Astyanax mexicanus: one gene and its partners. The protein of the gene in region 4 interacts with the protein of the main gene of each other region in a pairwise test. Links are inferred from orthologs where the notes say so. Each region holds a gene or a part of one and is shown on either strand. Other genes may lie near its edges. The genes, in order: cdkn2c, dhps, natd1 and nif3l1.

Region 1 (7,298 bases), on a different chromosome or scaffold from region 4:
GTTATTAAAACAAGCCATGAAATATTATATAAAATACACTTACTACCCATCTACTGCCTTACTATCATTACTATCAGAGCACACGCTGATCATCAGCCTGCAGTGTAAAAATACTAATAAAGCTGTAAGACTCCCGGAAAGATTTTCTACTGCCCATCTAAAGTAATATAATTCAAATTAGGCCATGAAATATTATATCATATACACCCACTGCCCATCTAGTGTAATGTCAGCAAAACAGGCCATGAAATATCATAAAAAATACACCTATTACCCATCTAGTGTAATGTAATAGATAACAGGCAAAATAAACATATATAATTTAAAATAAAAAAATATAGAATTGCCATAAAATTGACTAAAACAATCAAATAGAATGCCATAAAATCTTAGATCATATACACGCACTGCCCATCTAGTGTCATGTCATTAAAACAGGCCATAAAATATCATATAAAATACACTTACTACCCATCTAGAGTAATGTAATACATATCAGGCAATTAACAAATATATATATATATAGAATCGCTATAAAATTGACTAAAGCAATGAAATAAAAAGTACTTGAAAGGAAATAGAGTTAAAAATATATATCTACTACCCATCTATACTAATGTCCTCAAAACAATCCATGAAATATCATATAAAATACACCTACTACCCATCTACTGCCTTACTATCATTACTATCAGAGCACACGCTAATCATCAGCCAGCAGTGCAAAAATACTAATAAAGCTGTAAGACTGCCGGAAAGATTTTCTACCCATCTAAAGTAATATAATTCAAATTAGGCCATAAAATATCATATCATATACACCCACTGCCCATCTAGTGTAATGTCATCAAAACAGGCCATGAAATATCATATAAAATACATCTAATACCCATCTAGTGTAATGTAATTTAAAAAAGGCTATACAATATTATATGATATACACCCAATACACATCTAGTGTAATGTAATAGAAAGCAGGCAATTTGCCATATAAAATTGTAATGTGTAATCTAATAGATACAAGGCAATTTAAATATATATATATATATATATATATATATATATATATATATATATATATATATATATATATATATATATATAATTGCTGTAAAATCGACTAAAGCAATCTAATAAAAGCTAATTTAAAGGAAATGGAGTTAACAATATACATCTACAACCTAGAATCTAGAATAATGTCCTCAAAACAAGCCATGAAATATATAAAATACACTTATACCCACCTACTACCCATCTAAAAAAAATCTAAAAATACTAATAAAGCTGTAAGACTCCTCGAAAGATTTTAAACTACCCTTATAGAGTAATATAATTCAAATTAGGCCATAAAATATCGTATCATAAACCTCCACTGTCCAACTAGTGTAATGTCATCAAAACAAGCAATGAAATATCATATAAAATACACCCACTATCCATCTAGAGTAATGAAATTTACAAAAGGCTATAGAATATCATATGATATACACCTAATATCCATGTAGTGTAATGTAATAGAAATCAAGCAATTTAGAATAACAATATAGAATTACCATTAAACTGACTAAAGCAATCTTAAGTAATACAAATATAGAGTAATGCCATTAAAACAGGCCAAAAAATATCATATAAAATAGCCTACACGTACTACCCATCCTTACCCACTTACTACCTTACTATCATTACTATTTTTGTGTTATTAGAGCATGCGCTGATGCTCAGCCTGCAGTGCAAAAATACCAATTAACTAATAAACATAAAGATAATATATCTGACAGATTAGTTAATGCGGTTATAATGTAGAGCTAACTACCTAATATATATATATTTGTGTTATTAGAGCACGAGCTGATTATCAGCCTGCAGTGGAACATTACTAATAAAGCTAATAAAGTGAAGAAAGTCATCGTCGATTGTTTTATGGTTCTCCAACCTGTAATGCGGTTCTGTTGAACTCGTTCTTCTTGTTCGGGTCTACGTTGCACTGCAGGATCTGCTGGACCATTTTGAACTGCCCTGTTGCAGCTGCGCTGCACAGTTTATCTACTGTGGCTTCGGCCATCTCCACCGGACCCAACCGGAGCCGCGCGCCGCGAAGTAACGGGTTTCTACTTCAAAGCAAGCGGCTGGTGCTGCTTTCCTTAGATGACAATGCCCGAGTGTGACGCGGAGCTCCTCCACAAGTGTAGTAAATACACCCTTCTTCCAGCTCCCACCCCACCTCCCCCTAAAATAAAAAAAAAAAATGGCGCAGTGCCAAGGCCCGCCCTTGTTTTAATATCGCAACAGTGAAGCAAATTTGTAGCCAACATGGAAAACAGGGGGGGATCTCACGCCGGATCTATCCGGGAAGCAGCACCGGCAGCACCGGCAGGAGGCTTGGGGAGGCTCCGGCGCGCTCCGGCGGGCTCCGGCTACCACCTGCGAGAGCACAGCAGCGTGTCCGATCTGCAGCCGGCGAGCCTCCGAAGTTCGTCCCGGCGTCCTCAAGCTCACCCGGGCAGCTGCTCCGTGGCCGCCACGGAGAGCCGGGCTGAGCTGCTTTCTAGAAGTCGTTGCATTTGAAACAAATGCTTTGAACAAACGCAAAAATATAAAAAATATTGCACTGCAAAAAATAAGACAAACAGTTTATCACGCAGCATTACGCAGCAGCTCCAGCGCTGAAAAGACAGTCTCTTTCTCTCTCTTTCTCTTTCTCAAAAAGCTCGTGTTGCATAAACAATAATAAACCCCTCACAAAGCATGCAAAACAATCTGCATATCAATCCGCTCCTCTATCGCAAGCGTTTACCTTCACGCAGGTGCAGGCTGAGCCTCAGGGGGGAAAAATATAATAATAATAAAAGCGCTAAGTTTAAAAAAAGGTCCGCGCATTAAGAGCGAAGACGTTTAGGCTGATACAAAACCCAACAATTTAAGTAAAGTAAAATGAAAAAATATATATGTATATACATATACGCGCGAGGTGTGAAACACAGATAACAGCTAAAAAAGCGTAGAGTCAAACAGTGTCACGTCAAAAAAAAAAAAAAAAAAAAACACAGCCACCCAATGACTTTGCGGAGGATGTGCGCTGTGAAGTTTCCCGCCCGTTTCAAACTTTGAATGTCGTGGTTCAAAGTTGTGCTGCCTTCAAGTTCACCACGAAAGTTGCCTCGTAACAATTTGGGTTACGACTGACTTTGGAGCGCTTCCCAGTGCAACGCGAGTTCTGCTCACTGCTCATGTTTAAGCGGTTTTTAGGTAAAAAAAAAAAAAACACATAGAAGAAGCTGAGGAAGTAATTCTTTCTTTTTCTTTCATTTTTTTTGTTCAGTAACGTTACTTCTGTCTATTTGTTTCCAATTCTGTGAGCGATATTATGCAGTAAGTATCAAGGGTATGTACTTTTTCAGCTCTTTGATATTATTTTTTCACGTAAACATAAGAGTAAATCATTAAAATAAATGCAAAACAGTTGCTGTAAAAGTAGCGGTTTGTATTGACACGCCCCCTTAAGTAAAAAATAAAGTAGTATATAATAAAGTCGGAGCTTGTGCTGCCAGCTCGGACTTGAATACGTACACGACGTGATTTCTGTTCAATTGCAAGTGTGTTTAGGCTTGAAAAACACGAACACATGGGAAGACAGCTTTTTCTTTCGTTTGTTTCTGTTTTTCTGTTGCCAACAGAGCTGTATATATTGACAGGTTCACTTTACGCGCTGATATTTAGTGTAAACGAAACAAAATAAATAAATAACAAACAAAGAGCACTGTATAAGCTCAAGGTGGGCGTTTTTTTCTCATCCAGTAGAAATGTAGGTGTATATCTCATCTTTTCACGCGTGGATGAGAATAGTCTGCACTTGCTGCTAAATAAGCGAAGGGTTTATATTGACACGCCCCCGAATTGTAAAGTCGGGGTTTATAAATAGGAAAACTGGGGAAAATCCCTGTTTTATACTCACATGAATACGGTCGCCAGGTTGTGGCGTCCATTCACATGCAGTAATATCGGAAATATCATAATTCCGACACGATTTGAAGGGAGCGAAAGTTGCCTTTAAGAAGTCGTGCTGCCTTCAAGTCCACCTCGGAAGTTCGTACATACGACTGACTTTGGAGTTCAAGGGGTTTGAATGGAAAAGACACGAATAACAATCAGAAAAACATTTTTTTTGTATCCGTTTAACGATACAGTATCTGATTTTTGTTTAACGTGTGGATGAGGGAAAACGATTAGAAAATAGATAGCAGCTGCTGTTAATTAAATACATTAATAAACTGTTTTGTATTGACTCACCCCCACTCGTAAAGTTTCCCACTGGTAAATACTGTATGTTAGAGTGTTTGAGGTGACGTTCACGTTCATCTGTACTCATTTCGTAAATACGATCATTTATATATGACTTGAAGGTCTCTCAGTTTCTTTTTAAACCAACCACGAGCAGACAAATAAAGTGTTTCAGTTTAAGTCTGTTATATTGAAAAAAATCTATTAATGTGTATTAAATATGAACGGACGACTGAATTAACGTAAAACCGCGGTGTAGCTGCGTGTAGTTAACGTTAAGGCCAGATATAGGAGGCAGTAATTCTGGACATACATAAATACTTACTTTCTGTTATGGTTACATAGTAAAAACAGCAGCGCTACATGACGGAAAAACACGACAAAAACTAAACAAAATCAGATCTGTAACACTGCGCTGTCCCGAGTCCCAACACTTTACCCCAGCCTACCGTGTCCCTGCGGAAGGTACTGGGTTTTAGCTGACGCTGTGGGAAATAGGGAAGCAAGATAGAGAGAAAGAGAGAGGGAGAAAGAGAGAGAGAGTTTGACATCACTCATTTCTCATTTTTTGAAATAAAGGACAGAGACCTCCGCCCACTTTTCACTAACAGACGAGGGAGGAGGCGGGGCTCAACGGTAAACCATCTAAAGTCGAAGAAACACAAATCTATCTATCTCTCTATCTATATATCCATCGATCCATCCATCCATCCATCCACAGTGTCTTGCAAATGTATTAATACCGCTATGGTTGTACCTTATACTGAGGTACAACAGAGTACCTTCCAGCGAAAGTCTTTTTTGTGCCCACGTTTTTTGTACCAGTAAAGATGATAAAGTTTATAAACATGATCATCAACTGAATATGCGTCAAAAACATGATGATCCAAAATAGTCTGGCTTTCAAATGAAAAATTTAATTAAAATATATATTATTTATTAGTACAGTGATACAGAATACAGAACGCACCTTTTGGCTGGTTAAATGGTACAAATCTGTACTTCCTGCTGTTAGGAAAGACACATGTGACCCTGTAAAGACCAATATTATACCTTACAATATAAAATGGGTAAAACTTACAAGCAATTGGTTGTAACCTTACAACCAACAGATCGAGCAAGGAGAGCACTGGTAAGAGAAGCCATCAGGCCCATGGTCACTTTGCAGGAGCTGCAGAAATCTATCACAGGAGTCGTGCACATTTTTCAGGGGGTCCTGGGGTAATTTTCTACATTATGGGGGACCTTCTGTGATTTTATTCCCGAACCATGTATGACGTCCTCTAATAAAAATAACAGGCTGAATTATCTACTGTTTTTCTCTGAACTCTGTGGTCCTCCAGTAATTTTAGTCTTGTCCAGACACACATCTCTGAGTTTCGTCTCCTCATGTTTAATAAAATAGCTATTTGTCCACTGCCACACACATTGGGCACGTGTTTCCACAAAAAAACATGTAAACACAAGAGCGAGTGGAAATGGAGGAGCTACTGAACGCAATGTCATGTAACCGAGAAAGCCTAAAAACTCACTGGTCCTCCGGATGCAAGAGTTTTATCACTGAGTAGAAGTGTGAAATATTTTCACAGACGTCCTCCTAAAAAACTAATCCCGTCCAGATAGGACTTAGGCATTAAGTCACTTAATGAGTTAAAGTGTAACTAAACCCCCTAATTTTGGCTGACTCCACCCTCAGCTCAAATTTGAAAAATGCTAAACATGGGAGGGGTAGTTTGGGAGAGGCAGGGTGATGCAAGGAGAGCACTGGTCAGAGAAGCAGTCAAGAGGCCCATGGTCACTCTGGAGGAGCTGCAGAGATCTACCACAGGAGTCGTGCAATCCACAAATCTGGCCTTTATTTTCCATAAGGAACAAAACCAGTGGTGAAAGAAAGACAAAAGAAGCGGTGTTTGCCACAAGTTAAACTTTTTGGCCAAAATGCAAAGCACAATGTGTGACAGAAAAGTAACACTTCTAATTACCCTGAACAAACCATACCCACTGTGAAACATGGTGGTGGCAGCATCATGCATGTGTGGGGATGCAATTCTTCAGCAGGGACAGGGAACCTGGTCAGAGTTGATGGGAAGATGGATAGAGCTAAATACAAAGCAATCCTGGAAAAATCATGGCTGCATGTCAAAATTTTGAAAACCATGCATCATTTTTGTTCTACTTCACAGTTATGTACTAATTTGCACACATGAAACCTCAATAAAATATTTATCTATAAGTCTGTTTGTCCTTTTATACTGATTTTTTATTATTAAATAAATGTTCCTTATTTTAGCTAAACCTGATCAAAATGGTTTTAATTTTAGTTTTTTTCAGTCCTTTTACATTTTAAATGCTCGGCTGCATTGAAAATGAGAATTACTCTTAATGTATTCCCGAGTGAAAATAAAGGATGATTGATTGATTGATTATATTTTTTGCAGTGAAACAATGCCATTTCTCTCATCCTCAGACAGTTCTTTGCTTTTTTTGTAAAGAAACCTTATTGATTAATTTTAAATTTACAAATACACACAAAAACATATTAACTTATAACACTACACATACATTAACAACATTACATGCACAAGATTACGAATTATTAATTAAAAAATAAGTCCCAAAGTCCCAAGCATTACCTTTGTGATTTCATCTTCTGAGTTCAGTAATAACTTGTTTAAAAACACATTCACTTTACACATATAAATTATCAATTAATCGATAATCGATGTCAACTCTGAAAGTTCTTTGCTATGAGGTGCCATGTTGAATATCCAGTGGCCAGTATGAATGAATTTGACCCAAAGCAGCAAATTTAACAGCAAGATTTTTGAATTGGGCTGTTTTGTACCTTTGTTTTGGTTATGCCGGATTTTTTTTATAAATGCAGAGACAATAGTTTATGAGATTCATTGTTTGTCACATTTATATAGCTTCCAACCTCCTATCATTACACTAGGTAAATACAGCTTTATATTCTATTTTTCTTTACAGCTTTTTATCTTTAAAATGGTTCTTCATCACGT
Region 2 (7,265 bases), on a different chromosome or scaffold from region 4:
CAAGAAGATGGTACAGCCTGAACGACCCTGCTGAGAGTCACCAGCGTCCTGCTGCTCCTCCTCCGGCTCCTCCACCACCTCCAGCCTCTTCTCAATCTAAACACAGCACAGGTATTACAGGTCCTTCAGAAGAGACAACATAAGATTTATGTCCAAATGTCTGTGGTTTACTCTTTTTCAGCTGTGTATTGGCAAGAACTTGGCGATATGATACATATCAAAATGCAGATAATAATAATAATAATAATAATAATAATAATAATAATCATTTTAACAAGTTTAATAAGTTCAACTTATATATCGCCTTTCCCAAACCCAAGGACACTTTACAAATACAGAAAAAAAAAATATATATATATATATATATATATATATATATATATATATATATATATATATATATATATAGCAAGATATTGCAATACTGTTAGCAAGGCAATATAAAACTAAGTAAGTTTAAACTTTATTTTGTACCCAATCAGAACACTGCTGTCTAGTGGGCGGGGTTTAAACCTAAACATAGAATGAACCACTTCTGACACCAATCTTAACAGCATTGAGATTTGAAGTGGAACTGTATTCTCTGGACTGATGGTGCTCCATCCATTACTGTTAAGTAGAGATGAACAATGATATTAAAATTATATCAGTACTGGCTAAAAATTACTTTTTTTTTAAACCAATATTTACTGATCTATCTATTGTATGCCGGAAAAGTTGTAGTGGGATTTGTGGTCTTCCTGTGAGTTATAAATATGTACATATATGTGTATACATTTGTAATATTGGCCCAAAATTTCTACATTAGTGTATCCCTACTTTTAACATATAGAGGGAAGTTGGGGAGATGTTAAATGCTGCTTACACTGGATGTTTATGCAAATGAGTGTATATACAGAACCAGTCAAAGGTTTGGCCACTTGGACACTATTATGACTCAAGTACTACTAAAACAATATGACTAAGAAATGAAGGTCAATCCGTATCCTCAAATGCAGTCACTACAAAGACTATCACAGAAAGGTTATGATGAAACTGGCTCTCATCAGGACCACCCCAGGAAAGGATAAGCAAGAGTTTCCTCTGTTGCACAAGACACGTTCATCAGTAATCAAGTAAAGTAGACAGAGGGAAAGAGTCTCACCATTTTGTTAATCTCCTGCACGGCCAGGCCGAAGCTGCTGGCCTGGAAGCCTGTGGTGAGGTAGGAGTGCAGCAGGGCTCGGTGATCCACCCCCTGGTTAAAGTCGTAGCCTCGGATCCGCGGCACGTCCTCCGGCAGAGCGGCGCTCTCCTTAAGCACCGCATCCCTGGCCACGGAGGGCACACTGTCCGCCATCTGTAGATAATGCACAGAGTACAGTAATACTGTCACCATTACAGATATTTAGGTTAGGTTACTCTTACAATAACTGATATTTTAAGTGCTGTAAATTTGATCTAAAAACTATTTGGTAGCAGAGACTTCCTGACTGTCAGCTGTGGTGTTTTCTGTAACATGGTGGTAAACACTGGTCACTCCGATTACTGCTGTACAGTAAAAAATCCAATGTTCTTTCTGTCTTTTTCTCTCTCTCACTTACTCGATTTTCAATTCCACCTTAAATGCAGCACTTAGGCTTGTGTGCTTGGTTACACAAAATCTACCTTCACCATGCGTTAGTCGAACAATAGGCTCTTTTTCACATAACAAACTGCAGGAAATGGCAAATAAATATTCAGAGTATGTAGAATATAATTCAAACAAACCTTAAATTCAGGGGTTCTTTTTGTACTTGTCAAAAGGTGACAAATTTTATTGAGATAGGGATTTCATTTTCCAGCAGGACCTGGAACACTGCCCGCACTGCCAAAAATACCAATTGGTCTTACAATATAATATTCTAATGTTCCTGGTTGTAAGTCATTATCATCAAAAAGAAAATAAATAAACATTTTAAATAGATCACTCTGTAATTTTCACATTTTGAATAGAATTACTGAAATAAAAAAAGTAACTTTTCAATGAAAACCTAATTTCTTTGAGATGCACCTGTACACTGAATAGCCCTATTTGAGTAATGTTCTAATCCATATTATGAGAAGCAAGACCTACTCAACTAAGTAAATAAAAAAATACTTTAAGAAATGAAGGTCAGTCAATACGAGAAATTTCAAGAAATTTAAAAGTATACTCAAGTGCGGTTGCAAAGACAATCGAAAACACAATGATGAAACTGGCTCTTATCAGGAGAGCAGGAGTTTACAGCCTCAGAAATGATGCAACAAGCATCAGAGCCACCTCTTTTGGTTTGTTTAACACTTTTAAGTTACTACATGACTTCTTATGTGTTCCTCCATAGCTTGGATCACTTTAGAATTCATTTACAATGTAGAAAATTATAAAAATACAAAAACATTTACTAAAAAATTGTGTCTTTTGACAGGTAGTGTATACTGTACAAGTCCAGGCTGTATTTGACTATTTTTTCTTACTGGAATTTTCTATTCCACCTTAACTAGAGCCCTGGATACACTCAGGCTTGTGTATGCTTGCTATATGTCTACACAGGATCTGCTGCATCATTTAAGGTGGAATGAAAAATTTGCTCTGCACAGGTTCTTATGACTGAGAGAATGAATAATAGTGTCGATAACGACAAGAACACTTCTAGAGAAATGGTTAAAAAAGGCTTTTATTTATTTAATAAAAATAAAAACAGACTTTTATTATGGGTGTGTTATTGATACAGCAGCAGCAGTGCTGCAGTAATATAAGCAGCTAAATGAGCTAAAGCTAACAGGACTGTAATAATAAACACTGATCTGAGAACAGCTTTCTTGTGCAGTTATTACTGACTGATACACACACTTACCCTGCAGGAGCTGAATCCGGATCAGGAGCTGGAGCTATTAATTATCTGTATTGATCTGTATTTATCTGTTATCTGTGTTCAGGAGCAGATGAAGCTACACTGCAGCCTCATCACTCACACTGATCCCACGTTGTTGCTACAAAGTACGGCGGCCACGTTGGGACAAACTAGTGGAGGGAGACGGATTTCGCGTTCGAACAGTTTTTATAAACGTTAGATTAAATCAATCAATTTTTTAATTATATATTTTTCTAATTCTTTATTTTCACACAGTAATATATTAAGGGCAATCCTCATTTTTAATGCAGCAAGCATTTAAAACTTGAAGGGACTAAAAAATAGATTTAATTTGAATTAAAATCAAGAAACTTCATAAACAATATCATAAAAAATAAATGGAAAAATTATTAGAAAACAAGCAAACAATATAAAATTGAATAAAGAAGAAGTAAAATAATTCAGAATAAAAGCTTAAGTTGACAGGCAAAAATGTAAAGCAATAAAATAATAAAATAATTGCAATAGTACAATTTATAAAATAAAAAATAAATAAAAGGTTCAATGAATGAAATTTCAATATAAATAATGAAAGGTAAAAGGCCAAAAGTTTAATAAATGAAATAAATAAAAAGACAAAATAAATCAAATAAAAAGTAAAAGGTAAAAAAAAAGGTAAAAAAAAAATCAACTAAAACAGTTAAAGTTACAATAATTTAGTGATACCGGTCAACCCTTATTTTTACTCTGTAATACATTAAGGGCAACCCTAATTTTCAATGTCGCAGAGCATTTAAAACTTGAAGGGACTAAAAATTTTAATTAAAACGAAACTCAAGTATTTAATCAGGAGAGCTAAAATAAGGAACTTAAACAAAAAAACAAAAAACAAAAGATATGGTAAAAGTATTTGAAAAACAAGCAAAAAATATAAGATTTGCTTTAGAAGAAATTAAATAATTCAGAATAAAAGGGGGCTTAAAGAACACTCAAGTCACTTATTTAATAGAGCACTTAGAGTCTGTCTATAGAGTCTGTCTACTGTCTATCGATAATTTTAAGAATGTCTTACCAGTTAGTTCTGAATATATAATTTTAGTTAAGCTCAGTTAGCACTCTGAAAAGGGATCTGGGAGACAAAAAAAATAATAAAAAAAGCATAAAACAACCAACAAAACATAAAAAAACAAATAAAAAAATATTTATAAACATATTTATTTCTGTAAAAATGTTGAGCCTTTTCTTATTTTTGACATGCATTTACTAATGTGACATTTAAAAGAAAATGTCTCATTTAGCAAAATGTCTGTTAACAAGTATATGCGTTAATATAATTCATCCAGGTATTGCAGGTCTTTCTTTCCTGCTGCTGTTAGACTCTAAAACCAACCCACATATACACACTTCATAAACACACACTTAAATACTACATACTTATAGAAAATATATGTTTTTTTGTGTAACATAATGTAAAATATTTTTTTTCTTTATCCCAATGCAATTAAGAGGCAATGTGCAATGTGCAATTATTTGTAAATACAATCTACAATCTAAAGAGTTTTTGACTTTTTATGATTTATATTGTATATATTATATTGTTTATTTGATCTATTTTATTGTAATGAGTGCCTTGTTATCCATTTGCTGCTGAAACACTATGAATTTCCCCACTGTCGGACTAATAAAAGAATTATCTTATCTTATCTTATTTTATTTTGTCTTATCAACAATATTACAATAAGGATACAATAAACAATAAAACAGGTTATTTGGGAATTGTAGCAAACAATGATATAATGTAGCAAAGTTCTGATATGTCTGAATTAGATTTTTAATCTGTTTAATGAATTTAATGTATTAGTTTTATAACATTTGTACTGTTGTTAAAATATTTATACATATATAATTATTTTTATCTTATAAAAAATCCATTATGAATAAACTGGGTAAAAGCTAAACTGACACACACACACACACACAGGTCAGCAGCTCTATATATCCCTCCAGGGCTTCTCCTCTGATAGTGTGTGATGTGGGCCTGACCTTTCCACACCTGCCTGTGTGACCTTTCAGCTCGGCCACATCACAGAGCTGTGTGAAGTGGTCTTCAGAGTGACCGCAGGTGCCCGGGGGGGATGGAGGGTGGGCACAGGTTAAATAACCTCCACCACGACTCTCAGTTCCATATCTCCATATCACACTCCATATCTGAGCAGGACTTGGATGACCTGATGAGGAGCTGAAGGATGGAGGCTGGGAAGGTGTACAGCAGCAACACCGTCCTCCAGGCCAGGAAAGCGGTGGAACAGCTGAGACTGGAGGCCGGCCTGGAGAGGATCAAGGTAGGCAAAAGGTCATGTAATAACTTAAAGGTGTTAAACAAACCAAAAGAATACTCTTTGAAGCACTTACTTGTGGTTTCTGAGGCTGGTAACTTTGATGAACCTTTCATTTTCCATAAATGTAGTGGTCCTGATTAGTGCCAGTTCCATCGGAACATTTTTTGCGACATTGCGACTGCGTTTAAGTTTAGTTTCAAAGTTTTTGAAATGTTTCGGGTTGACTGACCTTCATTTTTTAAAGCTCATGTCTGTAAATTTTGGGATTTGGGGGATTTAATGCCCTCTCTGGTGAGAGTGGGTAATTGCACCGAGCATGCGGAAGTCATTTTAAACTGGGCGGGTGTGATGGGGTCTCCTTTCAGAGCGGATGAATCCGATTCCAGGTTATGTTCAGTCAAAGAGAGAGAGAGAGAGCGCTCAGTCAGAAACTTCACTCCTTCGTTTCTTTGCTTTTACTATGAGTAAATGAATGAGCTACTGAGCTCTGAGTTTCCCCTTCTGAAGTCTCCATTGCTCCACCAGCTGCTCGTGTTCAGTAAAACTGAGCCGGATCCTCTTTTAGAGGCTGTACTTGTGACCCAAGTATGTAAAGACACATGACATGGCCAGAAGAAGAACTCCCGCGAAAAGCGACATGACACCCAGCCTGAATTCTAGGTGACTCTACCTCATAAAGCTGACTGAAAAAAAATCAGCCAAGAGGGGCTACTTTGAAGAATCTAAAATATAAAACATATTCTAGTTAGTTTAACACTTTTTTGTTTACTAAATAATTCTATATGATTTTCTTCATAGTTTTGTAGAATGATGACTTTATTGTTAATCTGCAATGCAGAACATTTTAGAATAATTAAAAATAAAAAACTCTAAATTTAATGACTTAAGGCTTTCTGAATGAAAGAAAGTTTGATGCTACTGTTTTAGGGTCTCAGAAGAAAATGTATTGTTGAAATTTTGATTCTTCTTCCTAAAAAAACAAAAAGAAATAAGCTAAGTAATAACCTTAACCCTATTGGCTGGGCGTCTGGTGATAGTGATAGTGATGTAATGCCATGTTTCTTGCAGATTTCGGCTGCAGCTGCTCAGCTGGTTCAGTACTGTCAGGAGAACCGGCGTGGAGATCCACTGCTGACCGGCATCTCTGCCTCATCAAACCCTTTCAAAGACAAGAAAACCTGTGTGCTGCTATAGGAGAACCAACAACCATGAAGCCACACATGCATCACTAATAAAGACAATGAAAATTCTGGTAATCTGTAAGAAATAATATAGCATATTTATATATAGCATATGTAATATAACAAGAACACCAAGCAAAACCTACATAATATTTTAAAGATGTTCTGACTCAATGTATCTATCCATCAGTATAGCTTTTGCCCAACTTCCATGCATCCCACACATCAACTTCCAGAAATGACTGTTCACTTGCTGCCTAATATGTAGATAAGATAAAAAGTGCCAATATAATGTGATAATCAATGTTATTTACTTGAATATTCAGGCTGATTATTGTAGACTGTATATATATTTATATTATGAAAGGTAATACCCAGTAGTGGTATCTAAAGCTCTCTTTTAGCATCACTTGTGTTGTAAATGTTCTGTATTATGGATTAATTTCACAGCTTTAACTCTGTATAATGTACTGTATGCGTCCACTGACAAACAAGTATCTCCATTTTTGTTGATATTTAGTTCATTACGTAATTTAAACAGACAAACTGTCCTTTACACTGTGCCAAAATGTCTTGATAAAAAGACCAGTAGAAATACTTCAAAATGACTTGAAATTAACCCTTTTTATATCTTTTTATAAGTTTTTTTTCTCTTTCCTGTAAAGTTGCTGTTTTGGAGATACTTGTTTTTCGTTGGACAGCGACTATATACACTATTACTATTTAAAGGCAATGATACATCTTGTTTAAACTTTTTTTGTCTTTCTCTGACAATTCAAATAAGTGAAACATTGATGTTTTTGCCTTTTTACTGTTTTTTAATGCACTGCAATTTAGTTTTCAACTCAAAACACAACTCAGTTTAAAAAAAAAACACACATTATATGATCAAA
Region 3 (6,934 bases), on a different chromosome or scaffold from region 4:
GCACGAAATGGCATTTAATACTTGATCACTTGCATCTTTTATTTTGTACTCAAAACTTAATCAAACAAGCTCATGAAATGTCCACTGAGCTGGTCAAAACATCAGAGTTAGGGTCAGACCTGCGCTGAGTTTGGAATGGTTCACTCATTAACTCCTTTACTATTCACTATATTGTGGCGGCTCTGGGTTGTGTGTGTGGCTGCCTGCAGGCATGTTCTGTTCTCCTGTGTGCGAGGATGACAGGGGTGGGGCATCTCCCTTGGGAGGGGTTATGCAGAGAGGGTGGGCACCACTCTGGATCTGCCATCTGGGAGACACACAGCTGGGTTGGTGGCCTTTGGGCTAATTAAATCCGTGTATCATTCGTTCATTTGATATTCAATTGAGAATCAAAATCGGAAAATTAAAAAACCAATTCGTTTTTTCGTTTTTTCGTTTTTGAATATAATACCAAAAAACGAATAACGGCTTGTATTTTGTATTTTTATTTGGTTATCCAAACAAAAATTGGAAATTTAAAAAACGGACCAGGAGCCGAATTTGATTTTGATTTTGAACTTGACCCATTTGTGTGCCCCGGAAGTTACTGATTTGTTTATTCTTGGTGGGTTTCTGTTGCGCGGGAGTTCACTGCAGTGTTATCTACACAGTCTGTATTGCTGTAGGCAGCATGGCCGGACTGGAACCACATTCTGGCCTAATTAAAGATCTTTTTGAAGGTGGTAAGACGCATGAAGAGATTTCGTGCACGTTGCAGCAAATGGGGATCCAGCGATGTTCTGCAATGAGTGTTAGAAGGTTCTGTGTTCAACACGACCTTAAGCGAAAAAGACATGTATTTTCTGTTGTCATATCGTCTTCTTTCACTGCAACGCGTTTAGTTCCTCTGAACAAGATAAAACTCTCCATCCTCAACTCCATCCAAAGCCTACAGCAATACAGACTGTGTAGATAACACTGCAGTGAACTCCCGCGCAACAGAAACCCACCAAGAATAAACAAATCAGTAACTTCCGGGCACACAAATGGGTCAAGTTCAAAATCAAAATCAAATTCGGCTCCTGGTCCGTTTTTTAAATTTCCAATTTTTGTTTGGATAACCAAATAAAAATACAAAATACAAGCCGTTATTCGTTTTTTGGTATTATATTCAAAAACGAAAAAACGAATTGTTTTTTTAATTTTCCGATTTTGATTCTCAATTGAATATCAAATGAACGAATGATACACGGATTTATTTAGCTCTTTGGTTTAATGATTTAGCTCTCCTAGTCTTGTTAAAGATTCTGAGTGAGTGGCAAGCTGGTTCAATAAAAGGAGCTGTTGAGCATTCAGCATGAGTCTCACGGGTCTTCCTTCCTCTTCCACGCCACAAAATAATATTTGCTGTTTAGGGAAAACCCAAACAACAAAACATCTTGCATAGTGCTTTTCTGATGACATTACATTATGGTATACATTGGACATTTTTTACAATGTGTTATGGGTGTTCAATTGTAAACTTTATAGGAAATAAAATGTACTGTTGAGATTTCAAACTCTACAAACACACCATAATTTTCACTATTTCTGTAACAGGGAGCAATTCTGAACACTGTATCAAACCCTTTGTAAAGATCACTTTCTGGTTGTTCCAGAAAATATACATTTTAAGAAAATATAAATATTTCCTGATAAACATAATTGCAAAGTGAAAAAAAAAACAATAGGAGGTTTCTTACAGTGATGACATTGATTTAAAGGGTTAACAAAGAAAGACTTTTCTGTAGTTTTTAAGACCAATCTGAAATATTATTATCTGAAATGTATATTGTCCTCCAGCAGAATTTTCTTGTAATAACCTGACTTAAAAAAAAAAACCACTCCTACAGTCAGAGTAATGTTACAGCCCATCACTAAACTGAACTGAAGTAATGGTTTCCAACAGAAATTCTGAAATAGTTCTATATTTAATCTGGGAGTTCTAGAAGCAGCTCTCGAAACCATAAATCCTAATCTACTTCAGCTCACTGTGAACTCGTTTACCTTTTTCATGTTGTTCCTTTGTGTGTTTATAATTCTTTTATAAAACTCCTGTGTGCATTATTAGCAACTCTGTCTTATAACCAATATAGGAACTGGTTTCCTGGCAACTAATTATTAAGCCTAAGCCTAAACTAATAAGGATTTTCAATTGAGCATCATTGCTGGCACTGCAATTGCACTTATTGAGAAACACTCTAGACCTTTAATCCATGCTGGCCCGTGAAGTTTCTGTGCATGGATTTGCAACTGTGCTTAAAGTGTATATGCACCAATGAGCTTTGATGTTCAAAAACCTGCCTAATTTGGTGTAGGTAGGTCCTCCTTGTTCCAGCAAACACACAGTGTTCTGAAGTGTGAACTGAGGCACCAATATTCAGCAGCAAGTCCTGTAGGCCAAGGTGGGCCTTATGTCTGTTATTGTTGTTAGAATTCACCAATACTCCCTTTATATTTTATATATTACTTTAAAGTGAGTAATCAGTGTTTTTCACTTTACATTTTTTTTATTGTCCAATAAAAAGAGCTTTTGTTCTGCTATGTATTTGTTTAGAGTAAATGACATTTACTAAAAACAAAAAATATATCACAAATATAACAAATATAATTACTTGAGTTACTTATTTATATTTATTTTTTATTTTTAAAAATGTATTATGTAGTTTCTCTTTTTTTTACCTGATTAAACTATTTATAACTATAACTATTTTTTTCAGTTTCTTTAAATTCTTTATAAATGCACTAAAAATGCTGCATTGAAATAATAAAAAAAACAAATAAAAAAAAAAACAAAGGTTCACTAATTGATTCAAAATGTTTTTTACATTACGTTAGACATTTTAATGTTATGGCTTATCTGTGAATTTTAATGAGTGGAATTTAGTTTTTTTTTCTAGAAAAATAAAAATATAATTTTTTTTATTATTATTTTTTTACAATTCATTCTTTCTGACTACTATTGGCCATGAATCCATGTTTTTCACTTAGTTTCAGTTGTTTTAAACTTATTTGTTTATTTTCATTAAGGAAAATGTTTTTTTCTTGTCTTGAGTAAGTAGAGGCTTTTTTATTATATGACCTATTATATATTTAGTTTTCATTTTATTAAAATTCATCCACTGCTATCCAGATACTTTTGGGCAAGTGACCTACTATTAAAATACTTTGGCAGTTTAATTTTCTGACTGTATCAAGCTAAATTCGAAAATAGAAAATTGGGTATAAAACTTAATCATTGTTTTTTTTTCACTCAGTAAAGTGAAGAAGAAATGGGTTTCCATCCAGTTTTTCAATTATATAGTTTTTCATTTCAGCCTTTGGCAAACAGAATTTCAAGAAAAATGAAAAAGTGAATCTTCTCTCGCTTTTCAGATGGGTCCATTTTTGTATCTTGTAACACATATCTGATGGTATAATCCTTGCAATATGCAAAAATGGAAAAATCAGAAAATGAAGAAAAGATTCCTTTTTATTTTTGAGATGAAAAATATATAATTGGATAAATTGATAAAAAGTATTTATTGTACACTGCATTACATAAAAACCAATGAATTTTTACATCCAATTTTATATTTTTGCATTTAGCCAGTCAGTCAGAAAAAACAGTCAGAAAAAAAAATAATAAACGTTACACTGACCATGGCTGATCCGTGTATTTTTTTTGTTTGTTTTTTTGAGGGAAAATGTTTTTTTTTTAGAAAAGGCTTTTTATTTTATTAAAATTCATCATCCACTGCTAACTGTTATCTGGATATTTTTGGCCCTGCGTGGTTACAGTAATACGGTCTCCATCTAGCGGTCAGGTGCGGCAAGTGCATCACGAGGCCGCGCATCAAAACATTGCCTGCGTGTTCTGATTGGCTGAGGCGAACACGTGGGCTCACAGCTGATTTTTTTGGATGGAGTGTTTTTTTGCTGGGCTGTCTGAACGCCCTCAGTCCGCCTGGGCCAGCCCGGCTCTCAGCCTGCGTCTCGGGGCTGCTGCTGCTGCTGCTGCTGCTGTATCAGACGCAGCGCTCTCACCGACTTTTAGCGCACCGCTGCTCCAGCACCATGGCCCAGGCCGCCCAGATCAACATCCTGGAGATCAGCAGCCCCATTCGGGTCGAGCACGACAAGAAGCGGCGGCAGTTTAGCATCCGTCTCAACGGTAAAGAGGCTGGAGTTGGGCTGGCGGGGACAGGGAGAGAGCAGCGCTGCAGGGCTGTACCTTTGTTTTCATTACAGCCTCGGCTCGGCTGAGTGACACTGGCTGGCTGGCGGGCTAGCGTTAGTTAGCCGGCTGGCTAGTCCTCTGGAACTAGTCCACAGCAGTGCTCACAGCTCTGCTCTTCACTGCTGCTAGCTCAACACTTTCCCTCTTCTCTGTTAACAGTCATTTAACCTAACTAGTGAACCTAGTTAACAAGCTTAGCAACATTAAAACATAGACTTAAGTAACTAGTTAGTTGAATCTCGTTCGTCCTGTATTTTTTCCTGTAAAGCCAAAACATTAAAACCAAGCGTTAACCTAGGTTACAAGTTCGCCCGCTAGCTTAGCTTAGCTAATGTATATGTTTTTCCTCAACCTTAGCAACTAGCCAGCTCTCATTACCCTTAAGCTCGCTACACAGCAAAAATTCGACATTCACGCCCGTTTAACAGCTTAAACCTCGAGATTCAGGTGAGGAAAACTCATTTTAGAAAGGTCTTTCGTTTGTTTGGAGATATTTTCGAATGTAAACACAGATTTAGTTGCTTTTCAGCTGTATTTTGTTAGCCAGCCCTCGTTTGACTTCCTGTTACATCAATAACAAGAGATTATCTGTGCAAAACAAAACAGACACACAGTTGTTTTTTTCCTCTGTCAGTGTGGTTTTCACTGAACCCGTAGCTGAAAACCTTCAAACCCAAGCTTAGCTTTTTCTATCAAAGAAGAAAAGCAATTTATGGAGGCTTAGTTAGCTAGTGTAAAATGGGTTCGTCGATGAAGTGAAGCATTCATTACATTTAACTACATTGGAATAACCATTTATTAAACTGAAAGAACAGTTTATGCCCCAAATTAAGGGCACAGGCCACTGACATAGTGGTAATTGAATAGCATAATAAAGCATTCATCCACTTTTAAAGTAAAGATAGTGTCATTCTTGTGATAGGCCTATGTGATGCAAGATAATATATTGCTTAAAAAGCCACTAAACTCTAAAACATACCAGTCCTGCTTAAAATGTTTATAAACATTTCCTAACCTTAAAAAAACGCTTTTATTAAGGTAATTTCCGCCTGTACTTTGGTACGCAGACACATCACAATATACAGATCAATCGATAATACCACCCCACTGCTGACATCCAACCATCTGGGTCCTGCCACTGTCAGAGGCACGCTGCTGCTGCTGCTGCAGCTCAGCCAATCAGCTCTGCCTCCTGCCCCACCTCTAAACCCATACATCACCCAGTGCCCCTCCCAATCTACCCCTCTCATTTTTTAGCATTTTTCAAATTTGAGCTGAGGGTGGAGTCAGCTAAAATTAGGGGGTTTAGTAGCCCTTTACATGTTTAAACCAAAATGTTTAATTTATTGTGATATTAGAAAAATACTTGGAAAATCTCAATTTAGGACAAGTTGACATTTTAAGCAAACAGAACAGTGGGATCTAAGGACAGGGTACAACAGTGCCTTTTAGTGGACAGGGTTTAAACACAACACAAAATGAACCACCTTCCGAAACCAATATTTACAAGTAAACTAATAATTAAAGACCTACACTGTATTGCAAAACAAAATGTAGAATCAATATTTTCTTGCACACCTAGAGGGAACAGTTCATTAAATTAAGGCAAACAATTGTTAGACTAAGATAAGAATGTATTAAATGTAGATAACAAACATCTAAACTGAGGTAACAATTATGTAAATTGAGGGCACACTTGTAATTATTTACTTAAATGAGGAAACAACTTACTAAACTAAGTTACTGTTACATTGAGTGAACAAATTGTTGAACTGAGGATGCAGTTTTTTTTAACATCAGGGGATGGTTTGTTAAAATGAGGAAACCATTAATCCGGGAGAACATTTAATGTATTTACCTTTTTGTTCTACCTTGATACATCAGGGGCGGCATATCATTGACCTAATTAACCTATTTTGACCTACATTAGCGTCATAATTCTGTTTATTATTTAGCATTTTCATAATTACCCAGGGGGAAAACTCAGTTAAGGAAGGTTGTAAACTGTTTATACTGTGCTTTTATAGCAAATCATCAAAGCAAATAAAAAATATAAATGAACACAACTGAAAAACTCAATAATTATAATTTGTATCATTTTTAATATTAAACAGTCAATAAAGCCAGAACAAATCACAGATAACTGAGGCCTACACATATATATCTTGTAAAAAAAATCTGGTTTGTTTACAATACTAATTATTTTTTACTCATCCTTTGTTTGGTAGGTTCTTATGATAGAGCCGTGTTGCTGTATGAGTATGTGGGGAAGAAGACTGTGGACCTGCAACACACTGAGGTGCCAGATGCCTACAGAGGACGGGGCATTGCCAAGCATTTGGCCAAGGTGGAGTTTTATAACTGTAGATAGAGTGAAGAGGAATTCATGTATGAGTTATGACCTTAATTTATCTGTCTCCGGACTGCCAAGAGTGTGACCAATAGGCCAGTGTTGGCCAGTAAGAATCCAATGTCAGGATAACAGAAATTTGATTTGTGATCTGTGGGAATGCCATGTACTGTGTTTTCTTTAAATATCATTTAAAGCTAATAGACATTTAACATTTATATGGGGGCTACATTTCTGTTGTCATTTCAGTTAAATTAATATAATGCAGATATTTCATAGCATTTATTTAAATCCTCCAAATTCCTGCTCTGTTTGGTTTTAATAAAGGCAATTAATCAAATATTGTT
Region 4 (7,942 bases):
TACACGTTAGAATAGGTCTATGGGCTATAGTACAAAACATGTTCGTTAAGTTCTTTATACAACATCACTCTTACATAGAAAGACCACCAACTCTATTCTCATCAGTTTCAGTCCTTTTCAGAATTAGTTCACTTTTTAATGGCCATGCCATGCTCACAATTAGCTTTTAGAGATATAACACAGCAACACTTCAGCAGGTAGTTCAGAAGGTAGATTAAACTCGGCACATTACAGTATTCTAGTTTAAAAAGCATCAATCATACCCTAAAATATTATAATACATTAAATCTACCCTGAGATTCCAGTAAAAAAGGATCTAATCTGCTAGGTGTAACCCACACTACACCATTATTACTGTCCCTTTCCCAAAAATTAAAAAATGTAAAAAAATTTATATGTACCAACATATAAAAAATATAATCATTATTTATTCTTTGATTTTAGTCACATAATATTGTTATAATAAATATAATACTTTTTTAAGGGGTCAGCACCAATAATACAAATCTTAGTGTTTATAACACTGATTTTTTTTATTTGATTCATTTTGATCAATTGCAGAATTCTATTATGAATTCTATTAATTAGGTTTTTGTAATGGATTGACACCACTAGTTTTAATGCTTGCCATCAGCTATCAGAGCCCTGAGAGAGCACAATTGGCCTTTCTTTCTCTGGGTGGGTACAGTAGATGGCGCTCTCTCCCCACATTACTCCAAGGGTAATGTCCACAGCACAACGCATCTGTGAGCTGATGTATCGGAACCGAGTCGCTGCTCTTTCCTCCGAGCGCACTATGATGCTACTCGGTAATGCTGTATCAGCAGCAGTTCAAAAAGAGGCGGAGTCTGACTTCACATGTGTCGGAGGAGGCGCGTGGTAGTCTTTACCCTCCTGGTGTTGGGGCATCACTAGTGATAGGGGTAGTCCCAATGAGTGGGTTGGGTAATTGGCTATGTAAATTAGTGAGAAAATAACATACCTAAGCAGAGTGTACTGAAATGCTTCACTGTTTTCTGTCTCCTTCAGCAGCTTCAAGATACTGTCGAGCTCCACTTGACTTCCAGCAGTGAACTCCACCCGATGCCTCTGAGGGGCGCTGCAGAGAGCTTGGCTCAATACGGACACTTGTCCATGACCTGAGGAGAAAAATCACAAGTTACCATTTTTAAAGAAATATACTGTATTATAATAATGATGATGATGATGATGATTAATTTGAAGATGATAACTAACCCAATCCTCCTATCAGCCAGTCATTAAGGCCGTCTTTGGCGCTGTCCCATGATGTATGTGGGGAGAAGACTGCAATCCCGCCTTCTACAGCTCTGACGGCCAATCGCTGCTTCCAGTCTTTTTGGAGCAGTCGTTTGAAAGGCCGGAATAGAGGTGGGTGGTACGAGATGACAAGGTCACATGCCATCTCCTCAGCCTCGTCCATGACGGCAGACGTGAGGTCATTGGTGAGGAGGATGGTTTTGATGGGCCGTGGTCTGCTGGGTTCAACCAATAAGCCGACATTGTCCCATGATTCTGCCAGTGAGAGTGGAGCCAGTTGCTCAAGAACCCCTAAAACTCCCTTTAAATCCATGGAAACGTTACAATGGCCTGACTGAGAGAGGTGGCGAGGATGACAGCTGGGGTTTAGGGAAGACAGACAATGTCTCAGGTTGAAGAGTCTTCTGGTCACAATCCTACACCCAGGAATCATGGATGAAGCCCCAGCTGTGGAGGATCATAAAAAAAAAGTAAAAATAATAATGCAGCTGCACTGCATTAGACTTTTGTAATTAGGAAAATTCTGATATTGGAGGGATACATTAACTGGAATATAGATTTTTTTTAAATAGAAAATGTAAATAAAATCAAACTGCTGTTCAGGAATTATTCCACCAACTCAGGGTTATTCCAACAATGTTGATTTCTGAACTCTTCCTGAGTTAGTATTTTACAATACTACACTAGTTCTGTTGTTGTTTTTAAATTATTATTAACTTGTTTTCTTAGCACTATTTAAGGTCTGAAAGCACTGCTAATTTTCATAGAAGCTGTATATGCAGTGTAGTAAAGGGAAACTCTTTTGTGAATCTGTTTCAATTCCAAAACTTTCTTTAGCTTAAAAGTGTAGTTTCATTTATAGCCACTTTGTTCTATCTAATGTAAATGTTCATCTTCAGTATTATAATATATAGATCACTCTGTGTGTAATATATCTATATAATATGAGATGTACATTTTAAACTGAAATAATGTAACTGTTTAATGACATTTTCATTTTTTTTTTTTATATTGTCCATTATTGCCCATTGTAGCCCAGTACTAGGGTATTATATTACATTTTATTGTTATAAAAACCTAAAACAATATATGCGGACTATCTACAGTTTTTATTCGTAAAAAAAACCCTACAGAATATACATTTACCATTATTTTTACTTAAATTAAGTTACTTAAATTATATTGTACATATAAAATAAAAGCCCTAATACACGAGCAGACACTGTGCAGTGCTGTACTCTCCGTTCCACCTTAAAAGGTGCAGCAGTTACATAGCAACCTTCCGCACTATTTAAGGTGGAATGGCGTGTTCAAATAAAAAGTATATTTTAACGTGGCCAAATCGATTTGAGTTGTATTAAAAGACGTTTATTAACTAATCATTTCGTCCACAGCGTGGTCCACATGCTGCCTGTGTGATTAATTACAGATTCAGTGGTGTAAAGTTCTGTAATTTGTTTTGGTTAGCTGTCATTAGCTTCTGTTAGCATGCTAGGCTAACTACATAACCTAGCCAGCTAAATTCTCCCTGTTTATTTAGGCTAAGCAACTAACTGAACACAGCAGCGCACATTAATAATAAAGCTCAAACCAACAACATACTGCAGATAAAACTGCTATGAACCAGCAAAACCAGCAAAACCACATAAACCCAGCTCAACTCACCACCATACACATGTGCAGAAGCGGGGGGCGGGGCCGACCAGCAAGCCGAGAGCTGATTGGATAAGAAAATACATGACATAACATGACATCCAGGTTTTTTTTTTTTTTGCGAAAAAAGTTTAAGCTAAAAATAAAAAGGCATTATTAACAACCAGTGTGATTAAATAATTTAATATAACGTAATATATAGAAAAAGAAGTTACCATTTGCTATTAATAGGTATATATTTGAGAGAAAAAAATATTGTACAGTTTTATTCTATAAACTACAAATAACATTCCCCCCAAATTCCAAATAAAAATATTGTTATTTAGAGCATTTATTTGCAGAAAATGAGAAATGGCTTAAATAACAAAAAGATGCAGAGCTTTCAGACCTCAAATAACGCAAAGAAAATAAGTTCATTTTCATAAAGTTTTAAGAGTTCAGAAATTAATATTTGGTGAAATATCCCTGTTTTTTAATCACAGTTTTCATGCATCTTGGCATCATATTCTCCTCCACCAGTCTTACACACTGCTTTTGGATAACTTTATGCCTTTACTCCTAGTGCAAAAATGTAAGCAGTTCATATTGGTTTGATGGCTTGTGATCATCCATCTTCATCTTGATTATAATAATCTGAAGCATGCTTAAATTAGATTTGCTTATTCAGTTCTATATAGTATTGAAAGTATAAAAGTGCTAGGGAAATTGAAAGTGCACTAGATATGTGTCAGAGCAGAGCATTTAATATCCACATGTGATTTTATAAAAAAAAAAATACATCATATTACTTCTTGAGAAATATTGATAAATTATTTATTGTTGTATTTTTCAAAAACAATTCTCGATGTTTTTAAATGTTAACTTAAACTATATATTTTTCGTTAGTATGTTGCGACAATGAATAAGTCAAAAGACATATTGTTATTTTAAATCTTTACTTATTTTTTCAAACTTAATTTGTTTGACATACTCTGTCGATATAATAACTTATTTTCCTAAAATGTACATTTCTACCACACTTTCTATCTCTACCAATCTAAAATCTCTCTTTAATGTAATTATACACAAACTAAACATCTCCAGCTTTGTAAGATAAGTTTTATACCTGACATCATCAGGTTACTAAAGTTGAGAAGTAGAAAGGTAGACATGGCTGTATATTTGGTGTATTGGCCTTCAAGGGATAAAGAGACATAATGAGGTTTACATAAACATTATAATAACATCAACATTACAGCATACATGTAGCCATGCACCAGTTGTCCTCTGATCTCTGAAGATTTGTTCTGGAAATTAGTGAACAGACAGGCCATCCACATCCGCAATGAATACAGGATTCCGGGGAATCAGTCAAATCCTGAATCAGAGAATAAAGAGATGTGGCAGAAGGGCAAAAAGCTGATTACAGGAAAGGGTTACGGCCCCCGGCGGCGACACGCGACGCTCATACTGCTGAAAAACGCCAGGTCATGAGAGAGAGGGGGGATTAATTTGGATTAATGAGATGGAGAGAGGCCACAAATGTCCTGAATTTTGGAGAGATGAGAAGCAAATCAATGACAGAGGTCATTATATTACACTCTGTCTGTTACTTTCATTTTAACCTAAATTTCAATGTGTTTTAGTGCTTCATTTCCATTAAAACACTGACTTTCTGACTCAAATCGGGTACAAATGATGTTATTTCCAATCCAGTCAGATCACAGTGTCTGATATTTAATAATCTCTGTGTCTTTTTGTGTTTGATCAGTGATTTTACCATCTGCCAGGAATGCTGCTGCTGTGCAGTTTCAGTCTCTGCTTTAACCGTGAGAATAAATAACTTTGATTGATTTCAATGGCATATAACAATTCAGAAATTAGGCAAGACAAATATTTCATACACCGATAATCATGCAATATTATTACTTCATTATTAATAATAAAGAACTAGTAGTACTATTAACCTTATGTGAACTTTTTCTGCAATTGGGGTCCTTCCTGTTTGAAGACACACTTCAAAATGTTTCTTTTTTTTTCCAACATTGTAAGTGAATATGGAAGGAACACATAAGGAATCATGGAGTAACTAAAAAGTGTTAAACAAACCAAAATACTCTGTGAAGAAGCTTTTAGGTGCTCTTATCTGGGGAGCTGTTAACTTGCATTTGTTTCTGAGGCTGGTAACTCTGATGAACTTATCCTGTACAACAGAGGAAACTCTTGCTCTTCCTTTCCTTGGGCGGTCCTGATGAGTGCCAATTTCAACATAATGTTTTGGATGTTCTTTACAACTGCACTTGAGGATACTTTCAGAGTTTTTTCGATTGACTGACCTTTTTTTTTCTGACCGTCATTTCTTAAAGTGATTTTTTTTTCTTTACTTAGTTAAGTAGTTGTTGCTTCTCATAATCTGCATTAGAACATTACTCAAATATTCACTATTCACTGTATACCAAATCTACCTCCCCTTGTGAAAAGGAAGTATACTTAAGAGCATTAAAATATCTTCAAATTAGGTAAAGAATACTAAAAGTAATTTTTTTATTTCATATACTTTATGAAAATACACTTGCGCTTTAGAGTAATAGTTTTTTTATAATATACATCAAGTGTATTAAAAATCATAAAAAAAACACATACTCAAATCTATTTAAGTTTGCAGAAGTTATATGCAAAAAACACTCAAAAGCACAACTTAATGCTTGTATGTTGTATTTAAATATAGCTTAATTACAATTGAAATATACTTAAGTTACCATAAGTTGTTCCAAAATAGATACATTTAGTTTGTATTTAAGTTTGTATTAATTCTAAATGTAGGTTAGCTACCTACAGTATATTTAGGAGCAGTTTGTTTCTCTGACTGGACTGAATGAATCTCGTAATGCTCTCAGAAGGTGCAGTATTATCCACAAAGGGAAAAAGTCTCCAAAAATCTGCTGTAAGATTTGGTATTGTGTGATCTCCTGCTGCATGTAAAAAAAAAAAAAAAAAAAAAAAATATATATATATATATATATATATATATATATATATATATATATATATATATATATATATATATTATGTGTGTTTAAATAAAATATATGTGTGTTTAAACAAAAGTGACTGTAGTTCTGTATGTTTGTGTTTTTTCTCACATTTTAAATAAAGTATTTTTGCAAAGAATGTTTTTATATGGGTCGATCTGGCCCACTTTAAACGAAAATTTGGACCCCCCTGTTCTATTGCCTTCTGCAAAAAAATAAAAAATAAAAACAGCACAAGGATGAGCACAAGGGCGGGTCAAGCGCAGCAACTGGACATGTTGCGTAACGCTTTAATCAACTGAGTTTTAGAGGACATGTCTTGGCTTGGGTTGGTGCACAGAAGAGGAGTTTTTTTTTTTTACAGATGTGCGGTACAGAGGGGACAGATGTGCATGCTGGACACTGGGTGTGTGAGACAGACAGAGAGAGACAGAGAGAGAGAGAGACGGGTGCCAGAGTCCACTTTGGGTAATTGGTGGTGTAAGCCTCAGCAGGCCAGCTGTCGACCTGTTTCAGACGCACTGTGCACAGGTTATTAAAGTTATTGAGGTGTGTGTGTGTGTGTGTGTGTGTGTCTTCCGTCACTCACAAGAACGTAGTTTAAATGCATTAAATTAGGATGAGTGTGTGATTAACTGATGAGCAGCCTGGTTTCTATCTGCTGATCTGATCTGTGATTATTGAAGCAGATTAGACTGTTGTTGTCCGGCTTTATTTTTGTCTCAGGTTATTTTAGCTCGTCCTGGGATGATACACTTGAACACCAGCCAATGAAGGTCTTTACAGAATCGAGGGAGAAACCTGCATCCTTTCTGACTGTTATCAACAAAGAGTGTAAAGAATTTCCAATAGAATTAAACAATAAGTATTTTTGTCTCTATATTTTGTCCCAGACATAATTGCAATAAATGATATTATTGTCATTTTAAGAAAATGTTATGCCACATACAGGGGTTGGACAATGAAACTGAAACACCTGTCATTTTAGTGTGGGAGGTTTCATGGCTAAATTGGACCAGCCTGGTGTTCAATCTTCATTAATTGCACATTGCACCAGTAAGATCAGAGTGTGAAGGTTCAATTAGCAGAGTAAGAGCACAGTTCTGCTCAAAATATTGCAATGCACACAACATTATGGGTGACATATCAGAGTTCAAAAGAGGACAAATTGTTGGTGCACGTCTTGCTGGAGCATCTGTGACCAAGACAGCAAGTCTTTGTGATGCATCAAGAGCCACAGTATCCAGGGTAATGTCAGCATACATTGTCTGAAAGGGATGTTCGGGTGCTAACCCGGATTTTATCCAATAAACATAAAACCACGGCTGATCAAATCACGGCAGAATTCAATGTGCACCTCAACTCTCCTGTTTCCACCAGAACTGGGACAATACATTATTGTGGTCTAAAACTAGATGTTTCAGTTTCATTGTCCAACCCCTGTGTATAGTAATATAATAATACATACTATAATAACAAAGATCTCTCAGTCTGGGCTTTTCAATTACATATATTTACAGTGTTTCTCTGTTGCTTTGGAGCATTTTGCCACCAATTGTTCAATTTTCACATCATCTAGTCACTTGTGCACATCACAGAAGCCAGTTCCCATTTCTTAGTTTAACAAACACATTTTAACATCAGAAAAGAATAACCTGAGTAATTATAACAAGACTATTTAAATTTTAATTTAATCTATTATATACATTTATTGTATTAATTGTATTTGCTCTCTACATCTAATAACTTGGTTGTGCCATTTTCCAAACATACAGTTTTATTTTATGAGACTGTGGAAAAGACTGGATATCCATTATAATATAATAATATAAGAAACATGCCATTTTAATTTGTTTTAACCAGATACTTTTTCTTCATACTTTTCGGCTGCAGTGGTCCTTGACCTGATTTCTGGCCTAAAGTTAAACCGGTTTACACAGGAAGATTGGGTTGGGCACCAACAAGCAATTTAGACACAGTGTTCCTGTAATAACAGCATA

Evidence for each region.
Region 1: the proteins of nif3l1 (region 4) and cdkn2c interact in binary tests that used the Homo sapiens proteins (3 or more experiments, as listed by UniProt). The two-hybrid records come from large-scale screens. The link is inferred for Astyanax mexicanus from reciprocal best matches to the Homo sapiens genes NIF3L1 and CDKN2C.
Region 2: the proteins of nif3l1 (region 4) and dhps interact in binary tests that used the Homo sapiens proteins (3 or more experiments, as listed by UniProt). The two-hybrid records come from large-scale screens. The link is inferred for Astyanax mexicanus from reciprocal best matches to the Homo sapiens genes NIF3L1 and DHPS.
Region 3: the proteins of nif3l1 (region 4) and natd1 interact in binary tests that used the Homo sapiens proteins (3 or more experiments, as listed by UniProt). The two-hybrid records come from large-scale screens. The link is inferred for Astyanax mexicanus from reciprocal best matches to the Homo sapiens genes NIF3L1 and NATD1.

The regions. Positions count from the first base shown.
Region 1 is NC_064419.1:46,763,204-46,770,501, reverse strand, and holds the start of cdkn2c (cyclin-dependent kinase 4 inhibitor C), read right to left. Parts: upstream 3,025-7,298; 5' UTR 2,063-3,024; coding exon 1,934-2,062; intron 1-1,933. UniProt on the Homo sapiens protein: Interacts strongly with CDK6, weakly with CDK4. Inhibits cell growth and proliferation with a correlated dependence on endogenous retinoblastoma protein RB.
Region 2 is NC_064426.1:39,363,999-39,371,263, forward strand, and holds the start of dhps (deoxyhypusine synthase), read right to left. Parts: upstream 3,004-7,265; 5' UTR 2,856-3,003; intron 1,340-2,855; coding exon 1,145-1,339; intron 97-1,144; coding exon 1-96. Other genes in the region: guanine nucleotide-binding protein G(I)/G(S)/G(O) subunit gamma-7, read left to right, coding at 5,099-5,194, 6,260-6,385. UniProt on the Homo sapiens protein: Catalyzes the NAD-dependent oxidative cleavage of spermidine and the subsequent transfer of the butylamine moiety of spermidine to the epsilon-amino group of a critical lysine residue of the eIF-5A precursor protein to form the intermediate deoxyhypusine residue.
Region 3 is NC_064426.1:27,674,803-27,681,736, reverse strand, and holds the start of natd1 (protein NATD1), read left to right. Parts: upstream 1-3,917; 5' UTR 3,918-4,074; coding exon 4,075-4,171; intron 4,172-6,465; coding exon 6,466-6,584; intron 6,585-6,934.
Region 4 is NC_064422.1:9,929,043-9,936,984, reverse strand, and holds the start of nif3l1 (NIF3-like protein 1), read right to left. Parts: upstream 3,004-7,942; 5' UTR 2,944-3,003; intron 2,903-2,943; exon of another isoform or gene 2,881-2,902; intron 1,726-2,880; 5' UTR 1,712-1,725; coding exon 1,237-1,711; intron 1,140-1,236; coding exon 983-1,139; intron 1-982. UniProt on the Homo sapiens protein: May function as a transcriptional corepressor through its interaction with COPS2, negatively regulating the expression of genes involved in neuronal differentiation.